4 linked regions of the Rhinolophus ferrumequinum genome follow. The protein of the gene in region 1 interacts with the protein of each later gene in a pairwise test. Links are inferred from orthologs where the notes say so. Each region holds a gene or a part of one and is shown in the gene's direction. Other genes may lie near its edges.

Evidence for each region.
Region 2: the proteins of FHL3 (region 1) and SAXO1 interact in binary tests that used the Homo sapiens proteins (3 or more experiments, as listed by UniProt). The two-hybrid records come from large-scale screens. The link is inferred for Rhinolophus ferrumequinum from reciprocal best matches to the Homo sapiens genes FHL3 and SAXO1.
Region 3: the proteins of FHL3 (region 1) and CCDC198 interact in binary tests that used the Homo sapiens proteins (3 or more experiments, as listed by UniProt). The two-hybrid records come from large-scale screens. The link is inferred for Rhinolophus ferrumequinum from reciprocal best matches to the Homo sapiens genes FHL3 and CCDC198.
Region 4: the proteins of FHL3 (region 1) and THEG interact in binary tests that used the Homo sapiens proteins (3 or more experiments, as listed by UniProt). The two-hybrid records come from large-scale screens. The link is inferred for Rhinolophus ferrumequinum from reciprocal best matches to the Homo sapiens genes FHL3 and SPMAP2.

The regions. Positions count from the first base shown.
Region 1 is NC_046292.1:26,548,413-26,555,599, reverse strand, and holds the start of FHL3 (four and a half LIM domains protein 3), read left to right. Parts: upstream 1-4,183; 5' UTR 4,184-4,396; intron 4,397-7,187. UniProt on the Homo sapiens protein: Recruited by SOX15 to FOXK1 promoters where it acts as a transcriptional coactivator of FOXK1.
Region 2 is NC_046295.1:20,399,585-20,406,640, forward strand, and holds the start of SAXO1 (stabilizer of axonemal microtubules 1), read left to right. Parts: upstream 1-4,040; 5' UTR 4,041-4,055; coding exon 4,056-4,078; intron 4,079-7,056. UniProt on the Homo sapiens protein: May play a role in the regulation of cilium length. Stabilizes microtubules at low temperature.
Region 3 is NC_046289.1:36,461,677-36,469,687, forward strand, and holds the start of CCDC198 (uncharacterized protein CCDC198), read left to right. Parts: upstream 1-5,006; 5' UTR 5,007-5,133; coding exon 5,134-5,362; intron 5,363-7,791; coding exon 7,792-7,874; intron 7,875-8,011. UniProt on the Homo sapiens protein: May be involved in tuning the metabolism, energy expenditure, and excretion processes.
Region 4 is NC_046301.1:62,346,266-62,354,068, forward strand, and holds the start of THEG (testicular haploid expressed gene protein), read left to right. Parts: upstream 1-4,794; coding exon 4,795-5,099; intron 5,100-6,053; coding exon 6,054-6,170; intron 6,171-6,418; coding exon 6,419-6,490; intron 6,491-6,846; coding exon 6,847-6,908; intron 6,909-7,782; coding exon 7,783-7,803. UniProt on the Homo sapiens protein: May be involved (but not essential) in spermatogenesis.

The DNA.
Region 1 (7,187 bases):
GTAGAGAGTGCGGACCTTAAAACCATGTCTGGCTCTGCCATTCATTGGCTGCGTGGCTTTTGACAGGTCGCTTGATTTTAATAAGCATCGTTTTTCTCAGCCATAAAACAAAGATAATAGCATGCGCTGCTTGCCTCAAAGAGCCATCAAGGCACTCACAGCTGAATGGAGGAGTGATATCATGGCAGTAGTTATAAAGTTCTGAGCCTTACACCCTCAAGTGAATGGCTGGCTGACAGCATGAGTGTCAGAGGCAGTGCCATGTAAATGATTAGGACCATAAACCATGGAGGTGTGTTCTGATCCTAACTGCTACCAGCCAAGAAAAAGTTAGCTTCACTCGACCTTGGTCTCCTCCTCTGTGAAACTGAGGTAGTAATACAGAATTATTGTGAGGATTAAATGAAATACAGTAATACCTCGGTTTTCGAACGTCTCCATTGACGAACATTTCCCCGTTGAGGAACATTTCCGTTTACGAACGCCGTAAACCGGAAGTAAATGCTTCAGTTTTTTAACACACCTCGGAAGTAGAACATGTCACGCGGCGTCCACTGAGTGCAAGATCCTGAGGCCTAGCTGTCGGCTGTTTTCAAACGTTTCAGAACTCGAATGGTCTTCCGGAACAGATCACATTCGAAAACCGAGGTACCGCTGTAACATGTTTAAAATGCTGTGTTCACCCCTTAGCAAGTTCTCAATTTTGAGCTATTACTGTTATTACTAAACCTAAATGTGAGGATTGAGAGAGGGTTGGGCACTGCAGAGCACTCCAGAAGCATTGGGTTTAGTTTCCACCATGTAAAGCTAGATTTCAGCTGTAATTACATCCATTTCTCACGACAGGGCTCACTCTTCCTGCTGAGGAGCTCTGGGGAAATCCTCTCTTCATTCCCCAGAAGTGGAAGTCCAATAGACCAGTGGGCATGATAAAACCTAAAAGTAGCTGAGATCTGAAGTGTGAAAAGTTTTTTTCTGAGTCTGAGGCTTGCCCAACTAGGGCCACATGCATTAACAAAATTCCATCTCATTTGTTACTTAACCATTGAAAGACAAGGCCCTTTATGATCTGGCCTATGCCCACTTTTCCAGCCTCCTCTTGATTCAGAAGCCTAGCCATTAGTCAGAGTAACCTGGTGGCAGCCCCAGTCACTCCTGCTGCTTCCCTTAAAGAAGGCGTTGAGTAATAGGTACACCCAGGAGAAGACAGCTCTGCACACTGGAAGGGATAAAGAAACCTGGAATCCGCCTGCAGGGGCTCTAGGCAGTCCAAAGGGTAAGGGTGAGCAATATACCCAAAGAAGGAAGGAAATTTTCTCACTGGGGGAAGGAGGCTTGTGGTTACAAGCATCAGAGAGTGATTCAGTACTCAAGAGGAAACCACGAGAGGCCTGTCAGTCATCACCCGAGGCCACCTTCTGAAAGCCCTTCCAAGATGAGAGAACAGCTGGGAGATCCTGAGCAAGCCCCCTTCCACCACAAGATAAGGGTGTGTGGGGACCACCTGGGTGGGTAAAGGGACAACCAGATCCCACTCACCCAAGGCTGGTCGTCCAGGACTAAGGCTCTGCTTCCAGCCCCAGCTCAGACACACCTGTTCCTCAGAGATAGGGAGGGAGGGGGACTGATAGAGAACAGGAACAGGGAGTCCATGTGGCTGATCCCTAGACCTCCCTGGGGCATGTCCTCCTGGGTCAACAGAAATAGAGCGGGCAGGGAAATATGAGCCCACTGGAGAGCTAGAAATGTGGAGGAGAACCAGAGGGGCACTTACAGTGTAGGCATGAGAAACAACAATGATAAACAGCCCCTGGCCTACAACAGTCCCTCCCCCAGGCTGGGCCAAATCAGAAGTCGCTTAACTGGCCTCCAGACTCCAAGTTCATCATCAGCAGAACCTTAACACTTGACTGTGAAAGGGAATGTGTGTGGGTGTCCGGGGTGGGGAAGAGGTCCCATATATTAAATACCTACTGTGTGCTCTCATCCAATCCTCACATGAATGCTATGAGACAAGAGTCAACCACTCAACAGATGAGGAGCCTGAGGCTTAAAGAGGTTAAATGATTACAGAGGCTTAGAACCTAACAGTTAAGCTTCTTTTTTTTTTTTAGCCTAAGGAGCTTTGATATTTGATTGGATTTGAATCCAGGCTTTGGCATTATTAGCTGTGTCACCCTTGGCGGGTTACTTACTCTCTCTGTCCCCTATTTCCCCATCTTTAAAACAGGGATAAAAATACATATTTCATAAAGTTGCTGGAAAATTAAGTGCACTAATATATGTAAAGTGCTTAGGTACTAGTACAAAGTTAAGAATTCAGGAAAGATGGACTCTTGTTAAGGCTTTTCAGCAGAAATTCAAGCTGTGAGTAAAAAATTAGAGACCCCCAACTATACCTTTGATCCACCTTCCTCACTCACTCATAACTCCTCCCTTTCTGAAAGCTGCTCACCTGTGCCCTCCCCATCACAGCAGAACCCTTTTGGCCTCTAACTTCAGCTACCGTGTTTCCCCGAAAAGAAGACCTAATAGGAAAATAAACCTTAGCATGATTTGTCAGGATGACATCCCCTGAACATAAGCCCTAATGCGTCTTTTGGAGCAAAAATTAATGTAAGACCCGATCTTATTTTCGGGGAAAATGGCAGGCAGTCTTCCCTGAACCTCCTGGGGCTGGGAGTCTCCTACACCTGCAAGACAAATCCCAGAGAAAGGGCCCACCCATGGTCTGACTGCTCACTCCCTGGATTCCAGATAACAGATGCCTATGGTCCAAACTGGGAGGAAAGGGGGTATCCAAACTGAAGCAGTGTCATTCATTCATTCATTCATTCATCAGATATTTATTATCCGAACATTAGAGTAGGTATTGGAAAAGTGGTGGCGAACAGAAAGGACCCATTTCCTGCCCTCTTGACACAGGAACAACAATAATAAACAAGCAATTAGTTAATTTTGAGAGGAAATCTGGTCTGGAGGGTGACTTGGGACCCAGGAAGGCAGGCATGTGATTCAGAGATGGGAGAAGAGGATACTAAGGAATCCCAGCCTGGAAGGGAAAGAGTCTCTGCTCTGAGAGTTTGGCTGGACCCAGCCTGGGGGATGGGAGAGGCTCTGAATCTCTACTCTAGATGCCGAAGGTTATTTCCAGGGTTGGTTTGTTGTTTCATGTTTTGCAAACAGCACAGCAGAGCCTCCTCCTTCCTCCCCCCACCCTTCCAGATCAAGGCTATTTATTCCTAGTGACAATCCTGAGGATCCCAGGGGGGCTGGCCTCAAGGACCTAGAGGGGCCTTGTGTCCCTGGCAGGCGCCAGTCCTCCCTCCCGGGCACAGGGAGGAAGCCAGAGAGTTGGAAACTGTAGAGGTGGGGGAGGAGGGGTTCCCTCTACTTCCCTGCCCTGTGCCTCAACCGCGCACACTCCTCACCCCGCTCTCCGAGAAGCCCAAAAATCATGGGGCCAAGGAGTAGAATCCCCCCTGGGGCCTCAAAGGTCAAAACTATTCCTGGGCACTGTGGATACCTAAACAGGACTTCGCGGTCCCAGGATGCACCTGGAGGTGAGGTGGTGACTACTTCTGTTTTTGCCAATCGGAGTTGTGGAATAAAGCCCTTTGAAGGTCAAGGCGCTACTGCAGGGCGGAGGTGGGGTCCTCTCTTCACTCCTCTTTCCAGAGAACACCTAGGTCCCCATCGACAGGGCCGTGATGGCAGAGTCAAAACCACCCTCTCTTCCAGGCTAGATTAAGGCCCCTTTCACAAACCCGGGCTGAGTGTGACCCCCTGGGGGTAAATTGGGAGGAGGGGGACACAAAGAGGGCATGAAGACTCTTGGTCCCCAAAAGGACCTTGATCAGCTAGCTGGGTCCTGTACCCCTTAACTGAGACTGAATACAGCAGACTCCCGCTTGAGGCTGGGGGGGTGGGGGTGGGGAGGAGAGTGGAGGGAGCAGGGAGCGAGGGCAGCAGAAGCGGCAAGGAAGGGACAGGGGCGGGGTCCTGGCCGCCCAGGAAGGTTGAGAGAGCCAGGTTAGGCTGGGCCGGAGGAGGGGGACTGGGGCCCCAGTCTAAAAGGGAGGTGGGGGCGGGGTCTGCCCCCCGCCTCGGGGACTAGGGGCCGGGGGCGGGTTCCGCACCCCGCGGGCAGGGGCGGCCGGGGGCGGGGTCCGGGCGGGGCGGGCCCCCGCGCACACTTCCTCGGGAGGGTTGGGGCCGCGCTCTCAATCGCCCACACGGTCCGGTTGCAGCCGGCAGCTTCGCCGGCAGCTCGCTCGGCCTCCGCGCGGCCCGGCCAGCAGGTAGGAGCCGCCGAGGGACGCGGGCCCGGCTTCCCGGCCCCCCTCACCCTCACCCACGACGAACGCCGCTCCCCGCTCCGGCCGCCGGCTTCGAGGTGAGCTCTCTGCCGAGCGCGGCTCGGATCCCAGCTCCTGGCCCCCGCCCTCCGGCTGGGAAGGGAGCGGAGGCGACCCGCCCCCTGCCCCCGCCTGGGTCCGGCTGCGGGCGCCTAGGGCGCCGATCTCGGGAGATCGCTGAGCCCGGGTCTGCACTGCAACCGGTACTCCGGCGGGGCGGGCGCTACTGTGAGAGTTGGGCGAGGGAGGGGGCCAAGTTTGAAATAGAAAAGTCCGAGTCGAGAGAAAGACCGGAGGGTTCTGAGAAACTGAGTCTCCCAGAAAGCCGGGTGGAGCAAGAGACCGAGACTGAGACCGGGACACGAACGACAGGCTTACACAGGAGGCTGCAGTTATCTAAAACAGGGACTCCACTTGGGCGTAGAGACTCTGAGAGACTGACCGGAGGCATAGGGACGGAGGCAGGTTTTGTGGAGCATTTTAAGAAAAGGCATACAATGACCCTAGTGAACACGCCATAGCGCCCTTTCCAGGACCTTGGGCAAGTGAGGGTCCCAGAAGCCTGAGCTTCCTTAGCCTTGTGGTGAATCAGCTTCTGTGAGGCCTACAGAGACATTCAGAGACTGGAGACAGAGACACTCAGGCATAGAGAGAGGCTAAGAGGTAGAGAATTGGGGTGGGGTGGGGTGGAGACCAAGGCATTCCTCCCCATAGACACACTAAGAGAGCAGACGTGGGTGTTCAGAGGTAGAAATCCACGGAGGGAGGCTGCTTGGAGATAGCCAGTCATAGAGACAGAGACCCACAACATACAGACAGCTGCTGAAGTGTGCAGAGACAGGCACAGGGTGAGTGGAACAGAGCTAGTCACCGAGAGACTGAGATTTAATGGAGGTGCCCTGACAGCTTCCAAGACAGACCCTGAGAGACTCAGGCCCAGAAGATTGGGAAGCAAGGATGTGGGAAAACACAAACTCTGGGCTGAGTCCCCATGACGAGAGGAGCTGAGACAGTAAGACTGAGCTCAAGAAGGAGCCCCAGGCATACACCAAGACAGCCCCAATTTATTTTTAAACTCATCTTGGATGGGCTGCTTCAGCCCTGGGGGACCCAGGGTGAATGAACTATTCCTCTCGTCCCCAGAACAGCTGCTGGATCCTGCTTCCCACCCCCTCCCCCTGCCCTAAATTGCTGTGACTCCCAGGCCCCGTGGGGGGGAGGGGAGAGTTTGGGGGGGGGCGGTTGGTGCCTGTGATAGCAGGGGTGGGTGTGGGGGGAGTTCAGTTTCTCCCCTTTAGTCTCCTGTCAACTCCAGGGAGCTGGAGAAGGGGTCTGTTCAGATCCTGACTCACAGCTGTGGGACCTGGCCAGGGTTCTCCTGGACATTGGGGGCTGCAGGGGGGCAAAAGGGTTGAGTAGTTGGCATGGGTAATTGGAAAGGCTTCTGGGTGTCTTCCAGTCTCAGGGCTGGCAGCTGGGGCGAAGAGCTGGGTTCCTGCGCTACTGATGTCATCCAGCATCTCATGTCCTCCTGCTCCTAAAGTGCTGACCACCCCCTCCACCATCCCTGCAGCATTTCCAGGGAAAGAGAAACAGGAAAGGGCCCCTGGGCTCTCTGCTACCTGAATGACCTTGAGCATACCCCTACCCTGTCCCTGGCCTCTGTGCTCAGCTGTAAAATGGAGATGACACACTATCCCGCCTGCCTTTTGTGAGATCTGCTGAGATGGTGGGTGGGTGTGCACTTTGTGAGAGGCACAGCAGCATGCAGGTGTGTGCACCTGTGTACCTGTGTGAGGGGTGTCAGTTATGCTGACTGGAGTCGGGCTAGCCTGATAGCCTGAGCCTCGTTGGTGCCCCCAGCAGAACAAGGGGTTCCTCTTTGTTCTCTCCCTGGGCCTACACTGAGAAGGTCCAGGTCAAATTCTGGGTGCTCCCCGACCCAGGCCTGGCTGAGTACCTGTTGTCTGAACCCAGAATGAGGGAGGGGCTAAGAAGAACACTAATAGGCTCCCTTTACTGACTGCTAACTAACTAACTGCTGGGTGCTTTCTAAGTATCTTAACATTTAAGCCCAACAACAACCACCTCAGGAGGTAGGAGATAGTGTTAGATGGGAAAATAGTCTCAGAGAGCTTACGTGACTTGCCCAAGATCACCCAGGCTTATATTTCACAGCTCAAGCCCTTGCACACCACATGCATGCCACAGCCATTTATCCAGCCATTCGGAGCTCCAGGAGGTTCACTGAGGTGCCAGCTGTATGTCTGGGTCAGGTGTAGGGGTGTGTGTGTGTGTGTTGGTGGGGGCAAGGGCTGAGAGCCATCTGGCAGCCTGAGCAGTCTCCCCTGCACTCTCCTACCAGCCATGAAGGAACACAAGACTGGCTCCCTCAGTTCCCCCAGCCCTGCCAGGGAAAGGGGGAGGCGGAGAATGGGCAGAGACAGGTGGGCCTTGATAGTGCCCTTCATTCTGTCCTCACTAGAGCCCAGCTGGACAGACTAGGGCATTCTGGGAAGGAAACAGAAGTCATGCCCATACCCTATTTGGGGTGCCCCTGTCTCAGAGTGGTGACTGCCTTCCAGGGGGCGGGCCCTAGGGTAGCCTGGGCCTGGGAAGGTGGCTGATGCTTTGGGCCAAGCCAGGAAGGAAGGAAAAGGCCCAGGGCACTCTGGGACAGAGGCATGGCCATACTCACTCCACCTGTGTGGCCCCCTGCTGCCCAGTGGCTGACAGCCCAGGCAACCCTCAGATGTTGGGCCAGAGGAAACCCAGGCCCGAGTGGTGGGGGGCAGACTGAGAAGGGGGATACCGTCCACCCTACAGCAT
Region 2 (7,056 bases), on another chromosome or scaffold:
CCTTCTTGCTTCCGTAGTCTGTCTCCTGGAGTGAAGGAGAGCCCTCTTCAGTGTCCCCGTCAGGCTAGGCTCAGGATGGGATCCCAAAGGACCGTGCTAGAGGCAAGACAAGTCATGGATTTCCACAGATGCTGTTCTCCTTACAAACTGTAAAATTCTATGATTCTACCTTGGAGTCAACTTTTGTTTTACTTTTTTTGGATTCCATTGTAAGTTCTCTACTACTTCCTTACCATATATCAGAAAAAGTCAGCATTATTTCCTTTTACTTCTGGCCCTTAAATAAATCCTGGAGTGGAAAGAGAGTTCTGACAGGTGAAAGCACCTTCTCCCTCCCTTTTCTCTTCACTGCCCATTGGCCCCACATAGGATTGTTTGGGTGTGCTCTTGATCAAGGGGACCAAGACACCCCCTAAAATGATACAAGTATCAGAGATCTCGAAGAGGTCTCATTTCTTTGGCTCATGACTCTCAAGACTACTTTTAAATACCCCAAGCATGGGGATTCCATAAACTTTCTTCAGACATGATCTAGATCCATAAAAACTGAGAATCTGTTTTTTCCCTTTTCGCTCTACTAATGTTAGAACAATTCGTTTTCTTTGTAAATATCTTTCTTTCAGTAGATAATCCTTTTATACACGGTCCAACTGTCCATCCATCTATTAAATAAGTGTACCAGGCACTGGGCTAGCTTCCAGAACACAGAGATGTCAGACTTGGTCTTTATCTTTGAGGAACTCATGGGTAAAGACCAACAAGGAGAATCTATGGTGCTTGGTGACTTGAGAGGGATATTCAGGGTGTTTGGGTACAGGTAAGGAAAGGAGGTTACCCCATGAGCAAACTCAGACAATGAAACATTTACTTTCAAATAAGAACTTTGGTATTTCAGAGTGAGACAAGATTCTAGTTAATTGGCAACAAGTCAAATAAAGAAAACCTGCCCTATAAATATATATTAGATATAAATATATATTAGATATAATAGAACGCCAATCTCTGGATGCAAGTGTGTTGTATACTAAAATCCCCTCTTATGATAGCAATAACAGTGCAGTATTTTGCCATTAAATTTATCTTTTTTTTTTAAATAAGACTTTGTAGTATGTTTCAGTTTTAAGAAGGAACAATATGGAAAGGGGGTTAGATAAAAAGCAAAGTCTTACTGGTTTAAAAAAACAAGGGCACTGGAAGAGAGCAAATATTGCTATGTCTGTGGAGTCCATTTTGTTGCAAGTGACTGAATCTAAGTTATCCTTGATAAAAATCTTTACTTCTCTCTCAAAGAGTGTGGGTGAATAAAATATATCTGTGGTATATATTTTTGTTACCAACACTTCTTGGCTTTTGATTTGAGTTTTGTAGGAATACTAAAATAATAGGGTACTAATTGGCTCAGATTGAAATCTCAGATAATTGGACTGATCATGAGCCCGGAAATGGTAATAATGGCTAATGTTTTTAAACTGTAGGGGATGGTTATTTTGTTTACCATGAAACACAACAATTTATCTTGAGTGGACAGAAGATTAAAGCACTCAAGTCATGTACCTATGATTAGGACATACTTTATTAAATATATATAAAATATAAATACATATTCATCTTTATATATTAAATGCCAACAATGTGTATTTTGAAAAAGGAAAACTAAACTGTCACTGAGTGTATTTAATACTGTAAAATTCAGATATTCATAGTACAAGGACAGAATATTTGTGGAAGATTTCCTTGTACGTAATTAGGGAAATTTAAAATATTCACCATGAATCAATAGCCCCCCCCCTTTTTTTGAAAGACTTTACTGGGGAAGAGGAACAGGACTTTATTGGGGAACAATGTGTACTTCCAGGACTTTTTTCCAAGTCAAGTTGCTGTCCTTTCAATCTTAGTTGTGGAGGGTGCCGTTCAGCTTCAAGTTGTTGTCCTTTCAGTCTTAGTTGTGGAGGGCACAGCTCAGCTCCAGGTCCAGTTGCAGTTGTTAGTTGCAGGGGGTGCAGCCCACCATCCCTTGCGGGAATCGAACCGGCAACCTTGTGGTTGAGAGGACGCGCTCCAACCAACTGAGCCATCCGGGAGCTCAGCGGCAGCTCAGCTCAAGGTGCCGTGTTCAATCTTAGTTGCAGGGGGCGCTGCCCACCATCCCTTTTGAGCCGGCAACCTTGTGGTTGAGAGCCCACTGGCCCATGTGGGAATGGAACCGGCAGCCTTCGGAGTTAGGAGCACGGAGCTCCAACAGCCTGAGCCACTGGGCTGGCCCCCTCGATAAATAGCCTTTTTATAATAACTAAAAGAAAAGTAAATGTGACAAGTTTATATCATCTTAAGACTTTTTCAAGGCACAAATCTACAAATGAGAGGAAAATAAATTGGGATATCTGTAAAAGTACTTGCTTATATGCAGTTCTATTCATATGAACAATACAGGTGTCGATCATTTCCTCTGGGGGTTGGAGAGTTGAAGAGGGTACAGTGATAACAGTGGTGGCAGCAACATTTACGTAGAGAGCTGAACTTACTAACAGGAGCAACGTACTAATTGTTGCCTGGAAAATAGTTTAGATTAGAGCAGTGGTGAGTTCTCTGTATGTCTGTTTCTCTCCTTTCTTTCTCTCCTCCCCTATGTGCTGCCCCAGAGTGCTGTGTATTTTAGTTTCTGTAATTCAAATCAGTTCAGCATTAAAAAAACTTGCAATAATCCTGTGCCATTCCTTGATATAATTAAGTTGTAAATCATTAATGAAGTTTTATCAGTATACTGGTGTCTGATGACTAGAATTGCCCCAACTTGTTTGTGAGGATTTTGTATATGGGCACACAAATAATTGATACACTTCTTAGTTTTTGGAGCTCAAATGGCTGCCCTTTGTCTAGCAGTAGGTAGAATAATAAGGTTCATTTTTTACTGTGCATATAAAATGGAAAAACTCACTATAAATTATAACTGCAAATTATTATTTATCACCTACTGTATAGTGAGGCATAGAGTTTATTTAACCACTCATTTATATGCTCAGTTATTTGTTCAATAAATGTGTGCCAAATGCCTACTGTGTGCCAGGGAGGATATAAAGTATTAGGGATATAGCAGTGAACAAGATAGAGAAGGTCCTGAGCTTGACAGAGGAGACAGGCAATAGACAAACATACAAATTACAGATAACAGTGAGTGATGAGAAAGGCATACACGGGGATAAGAGAACTATGAGAGGGAAGGGGTGATGGGGTGTATTTTAGGTTTGAAATGATCAGTAGAAGTCTTTCTAAGGAGGTAACAATTGAGGTAAGACTTGAAAGAATAAAGGAGCCAGACTTTCAAAGTGCAAATGGTTTCATGTAGTCAGTGACATTTAGTATACTCAGAACTGAGGTGGTTCCGCTATATGAGGCCACTTGTGTGCAAGGATGATGTTCGGACCCGGAAGCCAATGAGGGAAGACAGCATCCTGGCCCTAGAGCACGGCCTTGGAACACCCTGTCATGTATTAAGCCCTTATTTTCTGGGTGATTGGGAGGCTTGGGGAGGCCTCAGGGAGAGGGTCTGGGGCAGCTGGGTTGTCACTCAGAGGGCTTGTTGGCCACAACCATTTACCCATTATGAGGGAAGTGTTTCAACAAGCAGCATGGCAAGTGTAACGGCTGAACATCAGCCATGCTTGTGTGTAATTCTATGATCCAAGGGATTTTGGCAATTAACCAATAGCAGTTCTAGCTCATGTAAACAATTCTGGCCACTTCGCATAGTTTGGTAGAGAAAAGGAAGAGTAAAATTCCTGTTTTCAATGCCCACAGTCATGATTTTATAGTGTGGGTCACATTTTGAGGAAGTAACATTATCAAACTGGATGTCTTCTTCACAAGAAGGTAACCAACCCAAGCTCATGTGTTTTTATAGGCGGCATCACTGTCCATATCTCCCGACGAAGATTTACGATAAAACAGAGAAACCATGTCTTCTCTCCGAATACACCGAGAACTACCCTCTCTATCACTCTTACCTGCCCAGAGAGTCCTTCAAGCCCAAGCTGGAGTACCAGAAAGGGTCCATCCCAATGGAAGTCCTGACCACATCAAGGTGAGGGCAATAGTATGAATATATGAACGTATAACACTCATGGAATAATGTACAGTAATAATGTACAGTGTTAACGTAATAATGTGCAATATCAACATATGCTATTAATGCCTTAATGTTAATTTGCTATATCGCTGAAAGAAAATCTTGCATTTATCAACCTGTTTGGTTTTTCACAATCTCTTTTCAATGAAAAGGATTTTTTGTGTGGTGGGTGGGGAGTGGGAGAGGGGCGGGGCTAAACTGATCTACATAAGAAGAGTTGGCGGTTAAGTAAGGAAGGGATGGAAAGGGGGCTGCTGTTGAAAAAGGAGGTTTGGGCTTTGGCACCTAAGCTCCAGATCAGCTGGAGTGGTGGTCGTGACGTTGGCAGTGGTGAAAGAGAACTTGATCATAGAGAAAGAGTGAGTTGTTTTGAAATTATGCTGTAGAGTTTGAATTGGGATCCCCTTCAAGAATGGGAACAAAGAACATTTCCTTATAAATTTCTCTTGCCTTATAAACTCTGATTCTTTAGATCCAGTTCTGGCTTAGTATATTTGGTTTGCAGAGGTATCTGTATTAAGGGGGTCAGGGGAAATGATCAATTTGAGGATTGTTCTACATGTTGCAAGACTCCAACAGAATCTGCCATTGACAACTCAGTGATCACCAGGTGGTGACCTGTGACTGGTGACCCAGTGCAGTAGAAACATCTTTGAGTGCAGTTGGGCAGTGTTTCAGATTATAGAGTTTAGTTCCCAGATGAGACCTGACACATCTTTGCCTCTGACATTCCTCATCCCTACAGGGCAGGATTGCTGTGAGGTGGAGATGAAATTGTTCCAGCATAGTACCTGCACACTACAGGTTCTCAAGACCTGGTCAGTTTTCTTGCTGTTGCTCCCTCTGTGCCTCATAATTTTGTGCTTTTCTACTAACGGTCCCAGGTGACCCAGGCTAAGCAGAACATCTCTAATATTCATTCTGCCCCCAAGTTACCCCCTGGTAACCTGGAAATATCCTGTGTTGAAATGGTGGGTTGGAGGCCTGAAGTGTTCCTGTAAAAAGCTGCTATCTCCTAGATCCAAAGGAAGAAGTCCATGTCTGGGCTATGGGGCAGAAAAGACACAAGAGGGGAGAAATGAAGTCAAGGGATTTCTGAGCTTGGTGGGAGCCATTGGATGGGGCAACTTGAAAATGGGAGAGAGTTGAGGGCCTTGTCTGATGCTTGACTTGAATCAGGTCACTTTTTTTTTTTTTTAAAGATTTTATTGGGGAAGGGGTATAGGACTTTATTGGGGAACAGTGTGTATTTCCAGGACTTTTTCCAAGTCAAGTTGTTGTCCTTTCAGTCTTAGTTGTGGAGGGCGCAGCTCAGCTCCAGGTCCAGTTGCCGTTGTTAATTGCAGGAGGCGCAGCCCACCATCCCTTGCAGGAGTTGAACAGCAACTTTGTGGTTGAGAGGACGTGCTCCAACCAACTGAGCCATCTGGGAGCTCAGTGGCAGCTCAGCTCAAGGTGCCGTGTTCAATCTTAGTTGCAGGGGGCGCTGCCCACCATCCCTTGCGGGAGTAGAGGAGTTGAACTGGCAACCTTGTGGTTGAGAGCCCACTGGCCCATGTGGGAATCGAACTGGCAGCCTTTGGAGTTAGGAGCACGGAGCTCCAATCACCTGAGCCATTGGGCTGGCCCTCAGGTCACTTTTATGCTAAGCAGTTCTCTTAAATGATTTGGTTTAAGCACAAGCTTTCTGGGTCCTGACTCATGAAAAAATTGTAATTTACGCAAACTTTTTTCCAACCTATGATTTATTGAACAACATGAACCTTAATGGTTGGGCTTCGTTTTACCAAGAAAAAAGCATTCTTAGTTTCTAAGAGCCCAAAGAACACAACAAGAGATGTAGACCCTTCCAGAGCATTGCTTTTCCTTTTAAGAAACCCTGGTCAACACTGATGAAAAGTCCTTGGCATATGCCTAAGAGACATGTAATTGGTACAAAAGGATAAGAGCTGTGTTGAGAAATGGCTTGCAACATCACATGCAGTCTCTAGATGTTGGTCTTCTCATCTCTTTATACCCAATTTGCAGGAAATGAAGAATGCCTTGTGAATATAAAGTAAGGTACAGTTTCAAATGTTATACTAGGGATCTATTTCCTGTCCTGGAAATACAGAAAAGCGTGTTTGAGGATTGGGTGTTGGGGAATGCTTTTTGTTTGTTGCTCCCATGCTTAGGAGAACGAGGATAAGCCCTCTCTCTGGGGCAGCAGCCCTGCTCCATCGCCTGGCTCTGAGCCCCCCAGAAGGAGCCCCACACGTGCCCTCCCACCTCTGCCTTCCAATGGTGCTTTGCAAATCACAAACTTCCCCTCTGACCTGTCCTAAATTATTCTTGCCTCATGTCACTTACAATAATAAACATATCACCCAGAAGGTCCCTCTGTCCCTGCCGGAGCCAGAGTAACAATATCATTCATGTCAAGATGTGGCCAAAGTGGAGGAATGCAGAAGCGGAAAGAATTTCCAAAACAAGTTGTTAATGACCATAGGGGTTTTAAAAAGAAAAAGTGGTGGGATCAAGGTTACCCATAGGAAGGAAAAAGAGCAGAGATACTTCTCTCCTCTCTTTTATTTCCTTCCCCACAAAGAGAACTAAGGGGGGAAATAATCAGAGATCATCTTTTCTCTCTTCTGTACCTCAGTTTCATCATTTTTCAGCTCTATGACTGCCATGCTGGGCACTAGTGTTTATAGACCAAGGACAACACTATGTCCCTATCAGGAGGAGTTTTTTTGGTTTTTTGTTTTTCTTTTTTCAGAGTTCCATTGAACTTTTATTGAAATAAATGAACAGAAATCAAGATTTTACCAACCATCTTTCCTGAACCTCATAAATTCCGCAGAGAGTCTGGTCCATATATGTGTACAAAATTATTCCCTATCAGGAAATGTAGAGAAGCTGTCCTCTGAGTATGCCAACCAGAGGCTTCTGGG
Region 3 (8,011 bases), on another chromosome or scaffold:
AACCAGGTTGATGTCCTCCCAATGAGAGATGAAACATACAAAAATTCTTTGGTCTAAGTACTTTAAGAAACTCATACATTGGCTGTCTTCAGAATAGCAATTATGTGATGGTTTGGTTTTAACATTTAATTCAATGATATACTTGCAGATTGCATTTAAAAGGTAAAGATACACATCTCATTCAACTGATCTTATTTAATAGTTTATATAAGAAGCTTCAATTCACAATTTTTTTCCATTTTTTTTGCTTCGGCAATTCCAAACCAAGTAGGTCTAGTAGTACTGTCACCCTCACACCCAACGTATGGATAAATATAGAGGGAAATAATCACTGGGAGGAAAATTAAGGTCTGGGTCATACATCAACTCCGCTTCGCTGGCATCCAAACACATAATTCACATCTCTGAAAAGTCTCCAGTATTGCTTATCCATTACATATCAATTGCAGAAAAGGCTGTAATTTTATTAGAAACATAATTTAGGAATCTTGTAAATTAGGATTTAAACCCCACTTACTGAATGTTCGATGCAGAGTAATTAACCCACGTGTGAAATTAAATCCAATCCTAAGCAATCTTTATATACATGTTGTTTTAAAATCTGTCTGGAGCCTTTCCAAGAAAATCATATGCTGAAACATCAACAGGCAATTTAACCAACCTGACTCCAGACCGCTACTGTCCTATCTTAAGGAAAATCACCTTAGCATTTATCACCTGCCTAATATAAAACATCCAAATGTATATATCCATATCCCATTAAAAACGAAACCTAGTTCTCTAATATTAGGTTGTTCATATTTTAAAATGTACCACTCATTAATGTACACAGCCACTGAGCATTTTTATGGTTTTACATTTGTCTGTAGTTGCTTAGAACCTACAGTGATTGCAGTCACCATTACCTATTTGGTTCAAGTAGTACCTGGTGAAATACTTGCAGAAAAACCTGCCTTTCTTCACTGCCCCTACCACCAACCTCCTTATCTCCAAGAGGTTATCTTACCAAGAGAGGGTGGGTGACCCTGGGAAGTCCATCAAAGGCAAGAGCTTTCAACTCACAATCTTATGAACAAAGATAAGGAATGTTTCTGCACAAAAAAAAAAAAAAAAAAAGCTTTTGTCTTGTTGGCTCTGATGAGATATTGCAGTGTAAACCAGGCCATAAAAGACTGTAAGGAAATGTAGAAGGTACCTCACCACTCCCTGTACCAAATTTATACTTCAAGCCCTTTGTCACTCAAAAGTAGACTTTCTTGTTAGAGTGCAGGAAAATCCACATATCTCCTATGAATGTTCATTGAATTTACTATAGAATTTAAATCCACTAAACAAGCTTCCTCTATACCTTTGCCCAAGTTAGGAGTGTGTCATGCAGGGATTCAGCTCCCGCTCCCCATACAAGAATGCAGGATATGGTCAGGCCAAAAAGGAACAACAACGGAGCCATAGATAAGGGAGGCATACCACTATATTCTCGATGGCGGCTGATCAAGACACAAGAAGTAAACATCCGGCTGTACCTCAACAAGGGGTCTTCCTGCACCACAGTCTCGTTGGCCGCAGGGTGAGACACAGGAAGCAAACATCTGCCAGTTCCACTACACGGTGGTACGTTCCCAAGCAAACAGTCAAGTGGTCCATCAAATCAGGGATGGGAGGCAGTTCCCCATAGTCCACAGTCATTCGCCAGGGCTGTGCGTTGTCCTCACAATGTGTGCCCTCTCCACAGGGCGAGGGCTCCAAGTCTTCCCCAACCCGGGAGTGAGGGACGACCTTGACCTCACCCACATCCTCCACTGAGGACTCATCAAGTGTTTCCTGCTGGGCCTACAATTCCCGCATCTGGGCTGCCTCAGCAAGCCCTTCCCAGCCCCCACGGCTGCAAAACCCTTCACTTTCTCCGGCCTACGCTGGTTGGAGAACCATCCACGTCTTCCCACCCCTCCATGGGGTTCCAGCTCTCCAGCAGCCACTCCCACTGGGCCCCCCAAGACCGAGTGTCCACATGCACAAACTGCTCCACCGCCCCTCAGAGAGCCCCGGTGGGCACCATACCCTGCTCTCGAAACAGCTTTCATACGTATAAACTGCTCCATTACCCCTTTGAAAATTCTGGCTGGCACTATACCCTACTCACTGCGCCATGTGTCATGCAGGGTCTCTGGTCCCGCTTCCCACACAAGAATGCAGGATATGGTGAGGCCAAAAAGGAACACCAACGGAGCCATGGATAGGGGGTTCATACCACTATATTCTCTCTGGTGGCTGGGTTGGAGATCCAGGAAGCAGGAGCCACACAATCTGCAATCCGCCATTTGCTTCTCTGCCAACCAACCAACCAACCCCCCAGAGTAGTCACGGCCGTTATATTAGTGGCTAACGGCCAACCGGTAACAGTCAATAGCCAACTAGTCACAGCTGAGGGCCATCTATTACCAGAGCCAGCACCTTTCCACGTGAAGCCGAGAGCCTGGGAACTGTTCTCTGGGACTCTGTCCCCACAGAGTGAACCAAGAACAAAAGCAGAGATTTCTGCCGGAGAAAAACAGCTTTGTAGCTTTGCCCCCTTCTCTTCCCTCCCTATGGACGTAAAGGCTGAAGAGGAGGGTTAGGAGATGGGACAGTTGTGCTTAGCTCACTCCATGTCTCGAACGAAGGTGTTCTGTACATGAGGCAAAAAAGCGCTGAGCACTCAGAGTTTGTGCAAGCACATTTCTTGGGATCTCCATGGTCAGGTTGCCCGTGGAGCGGCTCCAAATTGGGGGCTTCTGTCCCTAACGTGGACTGGCGCACTTGGCTCTCAGTTCCTCCTCCTCCTCTCTCCTCTGGGGCCTCACCACCTTCTCTGTCCTCTGTGCCCTGTGTCTTAATGAAGTTTTCTTTGGGCACTACCTTCAGCTTTAACAAACTTTAGTCCCTTGTCTGCCTCATCGTAAGAGATTTATAAACTTATATTCTCATTTCATATTCCTAAACTATTACAAATAACATCCTATTGTATCATCTTGTACACACATATTCATAACCATTCTGGAACTGGGACGGGATCATTATAAAGTATTACAGATAGTCTGAAGAGTGGGCAAGATTTGGGTGGGTAAGAGCTTGTTCATGGTTTCCAACTCTTAGAAATTAATTATGGTTAAGAAATTACATCTTATATATAACTCTATAGGTGACATTAAATTCTCCTTTTCCTCTTTTAATAAAATTGAAATTATTTTTCATCACCATTCTGATAAAAATTCTTTCAGTACATAAACACTTTTTAAATGATAATCCTTAAGCACCATTGTTAAATAGGCCCAACTATTAAGTTGGTGCAAAAGTAATTGAGTTTTTGCAATTATTTCTAACCTTTTAAACCACAATTAGGGGCGGCCAGATGGCTCAATTGGTTAGAGCGCAAGCTCTGAATAACAGGGTTGCTGGTTCAATTCCCACGTTGGCCAGTGAGCTGCGCCCTCCACAACTAGATTGAAGGACAACGGCTTGGAGCTGACGGGCCGTGGAGAAACACACTGTTCCACAATATTCCCCAATAAAATTTAAAAAAAAAAACAAAAAAACAAAGAACATAAAACCGCAATTACTTTCGCACCAACCTAATAATTTACCCTTTCTTCATTGGTCTTTTCCTGTCTTACTTTACACAGGAAAATGTCTATTTTAATGGATAAGGACTATCCTGTTACATGCGGACATGTAGCAATACTTCCTCAGGAGGAGAATGCTGGCTAATGTTTACTTCAAGCTTACTGCACCTCAGGTATTACTCTAAGAGCTATAAACAGAATTAATTTGTTCATTCCTCACGGATTACTATTATTAACCCCATTTTACAGTTGAGGAAATTGAGGCATGGAATGGTTAGGTAATCTATGCCAATTGCAAAGTTTGGCTGTGACTAGTAAAAAAAGAGAAACAAACATGGTGTGAACCTTCATTTCTGTAGTAATTTCCTCAACAACTAATCAACTTCTTCTACAAAGGCTCATATTCTCCACACATATAGTCTCTCAAAGTTAGATAATAAAGCAATAAAGTAGATTTTTAAAAAATGAGAGCTGAATTCTTCCCACTGGATCCAGATCCAGGGAGTCCACAGTTTCCCATATAATTTCTAGTTCATTTGTTAGTTTGCAATACCTTTCCCAGCCCTTAGAAATATAAACTGATTGTATCCAAAACTAAATCTTACTAGATATTGTTCAAGTACTTGTATAAAGTATAAAGATTTTAATCTTTATAATTAAAATAGTCTCTAGTTACCAGAGGTAATTTTGTTTATAGATACTGCTAATATATGATTCTTTCTTGCAGTCTCTCTGCCACAGGAAAAAAAAAGTGTTAAAACGCAAAGGGAATTAAGTAGGAAAAAATTAAACTCAAACATCTTTTTAGATGAACTCTATTGACTCTCAAGACTTTCCAAACCCATGTTAGCCTCTTAGTAAACAAAGTTTGCAAAATGGAAAATAAATTTCTTTGAACTTCTCTACAGGAATATGATGAAAACATTAGTCATCTGTGGTCATAAACAAGTAGATCTGGAAAGTGAGTTCTGTTTCTAAGTATTAAAAAAAACCCTAAAAATCACCCATAATCCCACCATTCCGTTAGAATTAAAGATTAACGAAGCTCTAGATTACTAGCATGCACCCCTTCATGTCCAAAGGTGAGTTAGCTATTCTTAGCTGGTAGTTCTTATGGATGGTGTTTAAAAAATACGTGCAATAAGAGGTACAACTTTACGACTTCTTTAAAGCTCTGCTCTCCATCTCTGTTAATGGCCTTCTTCGTGTTACAGATTTGTTTAATGATCAATAGAGCTTTCTCTTCCTACCCCTAAGCCTTTCAGAAAGTTGCATAAATAAGTCAATGTTTAACTGGATTCTTTGGGTCTGAAATGGCAAAGTGAGAGTTGATGGGAAGTCTCCATGGAAACCAGCCTTCCAGGAAGTGGCCAGAGGGGTTAGTGTAGTGAAAGAGAGCTACAAAGATGTCATGAAGGAAACAACTGCTTTGTAAATCTGGGTAAACGTCTGTAATGCCTTGATTAAAACAAGCTACATTATAGGCCCAAAACCACTTCCCTCATGGTTTTCTTTTAAATGTTTTTAACGTAAAATGGGCCTGAGCCACTCTAAAACTCATCCTAGAGTGACCAAAGTAGCACCTTTGCAAATCAAAGAGGAAGAGACTCCCTCAGCCCACTCTGTGGACGTCGCATTCCACCAGAACCTGGAAGAAACGAGTTCCTATTCATTTGCAAGACTGCGGGACCGGGACCGGAATAAAGCTTTGGAAGGGCAGCTACCACCTCTAAGAGAGACCTGGTATGGAAGATATTCTGCAGGTAAACATAAAACCCAGCCTGAGATTTGTGTATTTGTGTCAAGGAGAGCTACTGACAGAGTTATCTGACTGTCCATCCCCATAATCTCAGAAAATTCTAAATTTATTGAAATATAAGGGAACATTTTTTGATGAAAGAAAGAATATCAATTGTAAGAATCCTGGGTACATTAGAATGGGTCTGTAAACTGCATAAACGGCTTTTCACCATTCCATGTGAGAAGGAAAAATCATTTTGTTTCAGCTTAGTTTATAATGCTTTCAATGTTTATACTTAGCTTTGCCAGACAATTAAAATTATTTAGATAAAGGTGTGATCGATTATGAAAATCATATGTTTCAGTTAGATTCTAAATTTAAATCATTCTTTCCAGCATAATTTTATGCATCAAGTTTTGTTGTTTTGAAAGCAGCATTTTAAGAGTTCATTCTAATGTGAATTTGGAAACCACCCCAAACAGGATTGATTTATTGCAGTACAGATGAGTGGATGACTCACCCTTTCCCCAACTGCATATTTTTCTTGGTCATCTGATGAACTAAGAGAATTTTTCCCAATTATAATAGGAAACTTTGAGCCTGAAGTGGCTATAAATTATCCTGGGGTATTTTATAAGACATGTAAATTCTTTTATGTCAACCACAATAGTAATTAAACAGACATTCTAACTTGAGAAAAGTACATTTACAATGTATACAAATGTATATATGGAAGTAATTTTCTCTTTTCTTCACATTCTGGATCAATAACACAAATAAGTTTTCATTATTGGTCAGCTTGGCCAGAAAGCCTTATAGTCTCTTTCGGTACCTAGTAAATCTTACCTAGAATGATCTTCACTGCTATTTTCTATAACTGACAACCTTTGACTGGCTCTCTGTGACCTATGTTCTTATGTTCTTCAACTTCCTAAGGGCATGAGTGGGAATTTTCCTTTTAATTTCATCGAAGAATTTCTTTTTTATCTGAACCCTTTATCCAGAATTCTAAGATTTTGGTAACTGAATGGTAAAAGCTGAGTCTTATGCATTTGAGTTCCAACTAGGAAATGTTCTTATTTTATAAATGGCAAAATCACAGTAAAAATAAATAACAAGAGGATGGTGAGCATTCTGACCACTATCTTCAAGGGGCCCATATTCTAACTCCAGCTCCACCAAATGCCAAATAGTATGACTTTGGGCAATTTACTTCCTCAGTTGTTTTTTTATCAACTATAAATCAGGGGTGAAAATAACTGCCTGACACCACCTATGCCATTTTGGGAGAATCAAATTAAATAATGGGTTGATATCTCCCAAATCGTAGTATACAAATAAGAAGTAGTCAGGCTGCTTAAGAAAACTGTGCTGAAAATATTTAGATTTTTAAATCCAATCCGTGTTTTGTTGTCGCAGCTGTTCTTTCTGCTTTGTTCAACATGCAGGCATCTCTTGAAAAGTAAGGACCTAGTGAAGTTCTTAAGGTAGTCATTCCAATGTCTTAAGGATAAAAACACATCATTACCCAGGAATTTTTCCATTTAAAATGCAAAGTGGGACTGTAGAATAGTCTACACAACAATCTGGAAGTCAGAATGCTTCCTTCCATCTTGTTGAGAGGAAAGAACGGGGTCTTCATTCATGCCGTCGAAGTCCACGGTAGTGGTCCCAGGGCCCAGGATAACCAAGCCAAAAAATCAAATTCCTAATGGGTCTCCTGAGCCTCTCTGTTTCTAACGAGGCTTAGCCCTGGGTTGTTTTATCAGGAAAGAGTGCTGACATGTGGCAATTTGTGGGAATGTCTTTCCCTAGTTTAGGGGACTCTTCAAGTAGGGACATACAATGCTCAGCCCTGCACAGTCCTATTACACACTCATGCTCCATTTCTTTATCACCTCTCTCTAATAACTATCCATCTATCTATTTCATCTGAAAAGAGAATTTATTTTAATTTCTTAAAGCTGTATTTTTTTTCTGATTTCCTCTATGATTTGGGGGAGATTTCCATGACATTAAAATAAATCGGTAAGTTTCTTTTTTCAGGCCAAATTCTATGCTTGAATAACATTGGTCGTCAATATATGAATTGTGCAGATCTTCCTCTAAATATCACTCTCGGGAGAAAATGAGGGAAGCAGAAATTAAATCCTGAGTCTAGGCTAATATTTTATCATTTGCATTCATGTAGGGTCCCTGCTTTATATGTTTCATCTCATCTCTATATTCAACTCGCAGGTGTATATATATATATATATATATATATATACACACACACACACACACACACATATATATAGATAGATATGCATATATATGTGTGTGTGTGTATATATATATATATATATATACAAAATTGTGTCAACAAAGTCTAATAACTTATGATTAGCCTAATTTAACAGTAAATTTGTTTTTAATGGTTTGGTCTTGTTTCTCCCCTAATCCTTCAAGTGCCCAGGACCATGTATTTTGACATCCCACTGGAACAGGGAGAAACAAGTATTATTAAAAGGCATCCACCCCGAAGACTTCAAGTAAGAATTTAAAAGGCTTCATAAGGAATTTCTTGAATTTAATGGTAACATCCCTTTTCAACTATAATCATAAAAGAGAGACATTGACCATGACCAAGCGAATGAGAATGACATTATTGTTAAAGAGAATGTTGTCA
Region 4 (7,803 bases), on another chromosome or scaffold:
TAAATTGGATTCTGGGCCTGTTTACAGCTGGAGAGTCAAGTCATGCACTTCACAAGTTTACATTTTGATATAATTTCAAACGTACAGAAAATTTAAAGATACGTACCAGAAACTCCTGTAGACTCTGCCCAGATTCCCCAGTGGGATGCATTTTGCCCTATTTGCTGTATGGTCTGCATCTACCTGTTACCTGTGTGCATATATGTATACTGATATGCATTTCCTGAACTATTTAAGATGACATTGGAGGTGCAATGACCCTTCACTCACAAACACATCACCATATATTTTCTAAAAAACAAATTTTCTTTTATAACCCAGTACAGTATCAAGGTTGAGAAATTTCACATGGAAACCATCTCATATCTGACCCAATGATGTCTCACTAGGGGGCCTTGGTAACCGAGCAGGTTGCCATGACAACAGATGCTGGCAGCCAGGTCAGCAGACAACAGCTCAGAGGAGCCAGCCTGGGGGAGGGGGCCCCCACCAAGCTTAGGGATGCTCAGGGTTGATAGAGCCTTGGGGACCACTGCCAGTGAAATTCCCCTTGGTCCTCTTAGATCAATTGGGGTTGTGGAGTCAGGACTTGAACGTGTCTTTTTGGGGAGACGTAATTCAACCCAGTCCAAGTACAGTGTAAATTCCTGGGGGCACGAGGTTTAGACATTAGCTGAGTTACTGTTGGGCAAGGCAGTGGCATCTGGTGGTGGACAGCCAGTCCATGTTGGGCATCTCCAAGCTGCCCTTCACCCTGCAGGCCTTCTGTGACTGCCCCATACACATGTGGACACCCCCCCTTGCTCCGTCCCTCATGCTTCCAGGGTTGTAGTCTGCCCGCCAAGCTCCTTCCTTGAGGATAGAAGCTGGCATCCAGTCCCCATCCCATGTGACTCTGGGAAACCCATCCTACCTGGGTGCTGCTTAAACCCTCACTGGTGTCCCACCCCTTTGCTGGGGTAGGCTTATGTGTGGACATGTGACTCCTTTCTGGCCAATAAAATGTGAGGGCGGTGGGGCGGCTTCTAGAAGCTACTGCATTCCATTCCGTGGCTCATGATGTCTTCAACTTGTAGACTCACTTGTCACGCTGCCATCTCTGGTTCTCTCTCTTCTGCCTCCGGCTTCCTCTTATAAGGGCCCTTGTATTACATTGAGACATCAGATAATCTAGGATCATCTACCATCTCTCATGGTCAGCCAATTAGCAACTTTAGTTCTTCCTGGAACCTCGGTTTCCCCTTGACATACAAAAGGACACATGTACAGGTTCTGGGGATCCGGGCGTGGACATTTTTGGGGGTTGTTATTCTGCTTATCACAGGTTTCCTTGCTCCTAAAAGGGAGGCCCAGGATAATGGTCCCTTTCTGCCTGTGGCCATTGCAGCTTTATGATGAGATGTCTGGAGCAGCTGCAGCCATTTTGGTGCCCATCTGAGAATGAATATCATAGAAAATTCATGGCATAGCCAAGAGAACCATGGAGCCGCACAGTGGAGAGGAGCCCAGGAGCCTCTTTTCAGAGGAGATAACACATTGCCTCATTGCTTACGCCCATCTGAGGCAGGATTTTTAGTTGCTTTACTGCCAAAGACATCTACAGAGAAGACTTCTAGCCTCCCCTTAGAGGCCTTGGGAATCTGGGTGTGCATCTCTCCAGCCTTCTTTGTGACCAAGCATGGCCCTGTGACCACGTGTCAGCCAAGTGATGTGAGCAAGAGTGGGTGAGCCTTCAAAAGTAACGAGTACTAAACCTGGAAACTATCCAAGTTCCTGTCAGCAGTGGAATGGACAGAAAAATCATGGTGCGTCCACTCAGTGGCTGGCTCCCCAGCCATGAGAAGGAACATGGACAAACTACACAGACACAGTTTTGAGCTTAAGAAGCCAGACAGAAAATAACAAATACCAAAAAATTCTATTTTATAAAGTGAAAACCAGCCAAAACCTATCAGTGTTGTTAGAAGTCAGGACGGTGATTGTCCTGGGGGAGGGGAGACGAAAGGGTCTGGGGGTTTTGGGGCTGTTGCATGGCTCTGGTCTGTTGTGGAAAGCCCTGCACGTAGGGTACATGGTATCTGACACTGAAAAGGAAAAAGAAAATGCCAAAAGGACGGGACCTAGTCGTCCTCCTCCTTCTGTGTGGCACTGGGCATGGGCTGCAGGTACCCAGACTTCTGCAAGGAAGAAAGGAGCTTCTGTTTTAAGAAGCCACGACCCCCTGGGTGTTTGCTGCCACTGTGAAACCACTTGCCTCTGGAGAAAGATGGACTGTCCTCGTTGGGTCCGAGAAATCAAGCCCAAGCAGTGCCCTTGCAGGGTGGAAGTTTCTTAAACACGACTGAGCGATGCTTTGCTGCTTTAGCAAGAGCAGATGGTGTACGTTTCATCCCACTGTTAGTGATGGGACATACCACACCAGGCCTCACCTGGGTATGAATAATTCTCACTCGGGGACACTCAGCGATGGGGACACCTGTGGTTGTCACGACTGGGTTGCTCCTGGCATCGAGTGGGTGGGGCAAGGGATGCTGCTGGACCCCGCAGGACAGCCCAGGACGGCCCACAGAGATGACCCAAGCATCCACAGCACTGAGCCAGAGACACCCGCTGTACATTAAGGGACATGTAGCAGATGGAGGCCCCGCGCTGCCTCCAGGGCTCTTCTGAGAGCGAGGCACCATCCGCAGGCCTCACCGGGCTCTTGGCATCTTCACCACCGGAGTAGGGGAAGTGACGGCGCCCACAGCTGCCTTTCCCAGGACTGCCATGCCGACTCCCGCCCAGCTCACGTATCCCCCGCGTTTTGGGAAAACTATTTAGTGTTAGGCCGAGCGCGGGGCAGAGGAGCTTTGCGCATCACTGTCTCTCTCACTCCTTGCGTCTCCATGGGAACCGGATTGTGCTGGAAAGGCAGCAGTGGAGGGGGTTGGCACTGAGTCCTTGCTCCTGCCTCCGCTGGGGCACCCCTTCCCAGAGGCAGGAAGGGCACCGGATCCCTCAGCTTTTGCCACAGAAAATGCCCTTCAGTCAAGGTCCTTTTCCATCATTGCTGAATTTTACAAATACTTAAGAGTCGCAAATGCTGAGCCCTCCCGGAGGCAGCCTAGCGCTGAATGCAATCTTGGGCAATGACTTGGCCTCTGTGTTCGAAATGGTGGTGACAATACTGAAGCCCATCTCGCAGGACGGACTGTGGGGAGGCTTCCAGGAGGCGGTGTCGCGAAGCCCAGCGGAGCGACCCACATGCCCTTGAGAGGGGCGCCCTCTTGCGGCCGCACTGCGGTACTGCTGCTTATCTCCGGCGCTGTGGTCACTGAAAACCGCAGCCGGTGCAGTCTGCTCTGGGTGCTAGGAATCCTGGCAGAAGCAAGACTAGGACGGTCCCCGAGCCACGGAAGCCTCATATTCCAATGGGGCAAAAAGTCAGTTAAAAACGCAATGTGGAATAAGATCATGGTAAATGCTGTGGAACAACCACCTTAAAGTCTCATCGACTCAGGGAGGAAAGCCCTGCTTTAGGTTGGGAAGGGTATTAGGGGGAGGTGATATTCAAAGTCAAACTGGGAAGACTCAGCCACTTGAAAATTGAGGGGCATACTCGCTGCAGGGTGATGGGGGGGACACAGGCTGATGGGGGCGTGGGGCTTCAGTAGGCCAGCGGCAGGTGGCATGGAGACTCCCTCCTGAGGCAGAAACTTGTCAGGGACACCGCAGGGCTACTGGCTGCTTTGACAAACTTGTGTAGGGCAGGATTGCTGCATAACAGACAGCCCCAAATTGGTGGCTTAAAATCATGAAGGTGTGACTGCACGCTGGGGTAGGCTCAGTGTGTCAGCTCTCGCTGCATGTAGTCTGTTGGGGCTGGAACTTGAAGGGTGTCCTCTTCCCTCCTTGTCTAGGAAGCTCACACACAGAGAAGTCTCCAGGGCTGCCAAGTTCATAGGCTCAGTGATGCCACCAAAGACCTACCCTTCAGCTCACCGTCCTCGGACAAGCAGGTCTCATGGTCACAGAATGGCTGCCTTAGCTCCAGACATCACAGACAGCCCCATAAATAACCAAGAAGTGGAGCTGGGTCTTTTCCTCATGTCTCCTGTCAAGTGAGAGAAGCCATTCCTAGGAGACCCCTGCAGACGCTCCTCAGGTCTCATTCCCAGAGCAGCCCTGGGAGGGGCGGAACCACTGGTGAACTATAACTGCCAGAACTTCCTCTGATCTGAGACAAAGCGTCTCTTACCAGGAAGACATATGGGATGCAGTCATGTCTGCTCCAGCATGGAGCTTGCCCCCAATCTAACCACTCACTCAGCTGCTCCTCCCCAGAGCCCTCTGTGGTCCGGGCATCTTCCAGGCACTAGGACATGCAGAATGGGACACTCAGCTCCTGGTCTGGGGAGGTGACTTTCTACAAGGCCGAGAAGAAAACAAGTCAATATTGTTGTAGATGAGGCCAAATGGAGAAATCAAACCAGATGCTGGGACGCAGAGAGACTTGGAAATGGGGCTGCTTTCCTGAGGAGGAGCCTGCCTGGGACGTGTGTGGGCAGAGGGACCAGCAAGTGCAAAAGCACTGAGCAGGGGACATGCCCGGCTCACTTCTGGAGCAGGAAGGCAGTGACAGGGGAGGGCGAGTGAGGGGTCAAGGCTGGCAGAGCGTGAGCAGTGCCTGGCAATGGGCACATGCAGAGTGGAATGTGGACACCGAGAATGTGGCCAGGCCATTGTCCTGTTGCCCGGTGACACACTGGGTGTTTTGGGAGCAAGACTGCTGGGCTGGGGAGGGCCCTGTCCATGGGGGACCACCGGCAGAGTTTGACTCACAACCACCACACGGAGGCTGAGGGCAGGTCAGGAAGGGGGCCGGATGATGATGGCCTGGCCCTCCAGAGTGCTGTGCGTGAGAGTCCAGGGTCCAAGGACCCCAAATACCAGGACTTAGATGGTGGGGGGCTGGGCTTCCAAGACCAAGAAGAGGAAATTCCCCCCGAGGAGTTGGCCGGGGAAGAATTCCTGGATGACCGGGCCCCAGGAGAGGCCATCCTGCAGTTGGAGAGTGTTCTGGACGAAGATGAGGAGGAAGCAGTGCCCGAGATGAGGTGGCATGGGGGTGGGCTCGGGTGTGGGGGGGGAGCAGCGTGCCCACACCCAGCCCATGGCCCCGGGCAGTGCTGCAGGCTGGGTCCCCCTGGGGCCATGTGGGCAGCACCCTCACTGGCCTCTGAGGCAAAGTCGGCAAACACAACCTGTCTAGGCAGCAGGTGGGTAACGGTGGGAAACCCTACAACAGTGCCCATTTTGGAGTCAGACAGCGTTCAGATGGCAGAGCTGAGAGGTCAGGAGAGGTGGCCCCCAGTATGACAGAGAGAAAAAGAAAAGGGGACATCCTCCAACTCAGAAGCCGCAACCAGTCCAAGCCCGCACATTGCCACAGCCAGTTAGGAAGCCTGGGGGACACATCCTGAGCAAACTGGGAACTGGTGAATTGAGCATTTATGGGGAGTGGTTTTTAGCCAGGGGTGCTGCCCTGGAAAGAGCCAAGTGCCGCCTCCGCTGTGACTTACTGTGTGCATTGTTATCCCTTGTCCTTCTGCCGGGCCATGTTCTGGGCTCTTGACTGTGGCCAGCCAGACAAGAAGCAGCCCCGTGGGTTAGCCGGTGCCCTCTTTGGTGTCACCTCCCATACCGCAGATGGATGTCTGCCGAACTGACCTCTGATGTCATGGGTGCAGTAACAGGGGCCGGGGAGGACCTTCAAGCCTATTATGTGAGGGCTCCCTGAGGCCTCTCTGTGGCCCACTCCTCCTCATGGCCAAGACACACACGAGCTGAGAAAACGGCCATCCTGGGAGGGCTGGGCAAATCTCTCTTCATTGCACAGTGGAGGGAGTGGGCCACCTGGCCAGGGTCACAAGTCTGGTGCCACTGGAGCTAGGACTGCAGTCCATGGCTTCTGCCACCAGAATTCGCGCCTCCCCACTTCAGAGGGCGAGGAGATTCGGGGCTGGAAAGCCGGCAGCTGCAGCCTCACAACCCAACTCAACTCCCCACAGCCGGCTCTCCATCACCCAGAGGTTCCCCAGCACCTCCATGGCCAGAAGGAGGAAGAAGGGCAGGCGGCTCTTCGAACTGGCAAAACCCAAGACCAACTGGCATGTCTTGAAAGACAGGTGAGGTGGCGGGCTGGTGGTCTCGCTGGAGGCAGGGGTGGGGGTCCATGAGGTGGAGAGCAGCCCCAGGGGGGCCCATTTGTCACCCATACAATAAACTTGGGGTGAGAAGTCAGGGTGTGAACGGAGAGAACTTGGGGGGGCCACAGTGGTCCATGGTAGCCTCTAGATGCTGGCTACGGACAGCGAGGCGTTTGAGCAAGTGGGAGCTGCAGAGCAAGGTGGGGGCTGGGCCTGTGTCCTCGCAGGACGGGGTGCTGCTGCACGGGCTATGCCTGGATCGCCCCATGCACGAGGACCTTGCAGTTCTGTGTCTACTGGTGAGTCCAAGGGGCGTCTCCTCTCTCTGAGTCCTGCCCAAGTTGGGGGGAAACAGCCAGGCCCTGGGGCCCTTTTCTTACTTTTGCCTTCTTTTTCTGGCTCCCCCCTTCTCTGAACACCAGCCTTGCTCAAAATAATCTACATTTCCCCTGTGACTGTAAGACTTTTCTGAGTCTGCCCTTCTCCTGCGTCTCCACTGTCCCCTCCCTTCCCACTGGTCTCTCCACCCCATTGTGCCCCAGCTACCCTGTCTGTGCACCTGTGTATGGGGTGCCCTGAGTTCTGTTTCAGAGCAGGGTGCAGGGAGCCTGTGTCCTGCTCCCCTTGCCCTGAGCCACGCCCGGGTGCTTTCCAGGCCATCGGTGTACTGGACGGAGAGGTTTCTTGAAGACACCACCCTCACTGTCACGATGCCCGGTAGGTTGGGCCGCCCAGCACCTCCACGTCTCGTTAGAGGCCTCCTGGGTCAGGCGTTGGTCAGAGGTGGCCCTTGTCCCAGCGCTGGCACCTGGCCACCCTGTCTGACAGGCTGCTCCTGGTCTTCTGGGGCTGGTCTCACCCAGACCTTTGCCTGGCTCCAGTGGGGGCTACGTCAGGGCCTCCCCTAGCCCTCACTCTTCTGGGGTCCCTGCCATTTCTCCCCCATCCTCCATCTCTCAGTGTATCTGTCCCTGCCCCCCCCTCCAGGGGGCTCATCTCTTGACTCTGTCCCCTGGGGAGCCAGAGCTAGCTGGAGGGTGAAGGGTATGGGGCAAACCCTCCAGGGAAAACCCCAGTTTGCACCACAGCCAAGATGGAGTTATTATTCACTGCACAAAAAGACCCTTTGCTTCCCTCCCACAAGCGTTTCCACCCTTCTTGAGAGCAATGGATCCCTTCAAATAAAACTAATTATTGGGGAGAAGTAACAGAGCAGCTTCTCACTTGGGTTTAGCATCTCCCCCACAGTGAACACTAACCTGGAAACACTAGGCCTGTACAAACTTCAGGCCCAGATCCACTTTCCCCACCAGTGGGTTGTTGGTGCCCCAGGAGCCCCTTGGAGGGACTCAGGACCTGAGCTCCCATTCCAGCCCTGCCAGCTCCGTCCTTGGCGCTGTGAGTAAGGGACTTCAGGCCTCTGACCCTGCTGTCCCCAGAATACTGACAGCAAAAGTTATCCCTGCACAAGGTGTCTGGCACTGAGCTGTTTGGACGCAGTGTTGCTCTAGCCCGTGGGAAGTTGCTCCGTGGGAAGGAAAGCCCTGGTGGCAGGCAAGTCTCGAGTTGGGGCTGTTTCCCTTTTGTGCAGCAGTGTCCCGCCGAGTGGAGG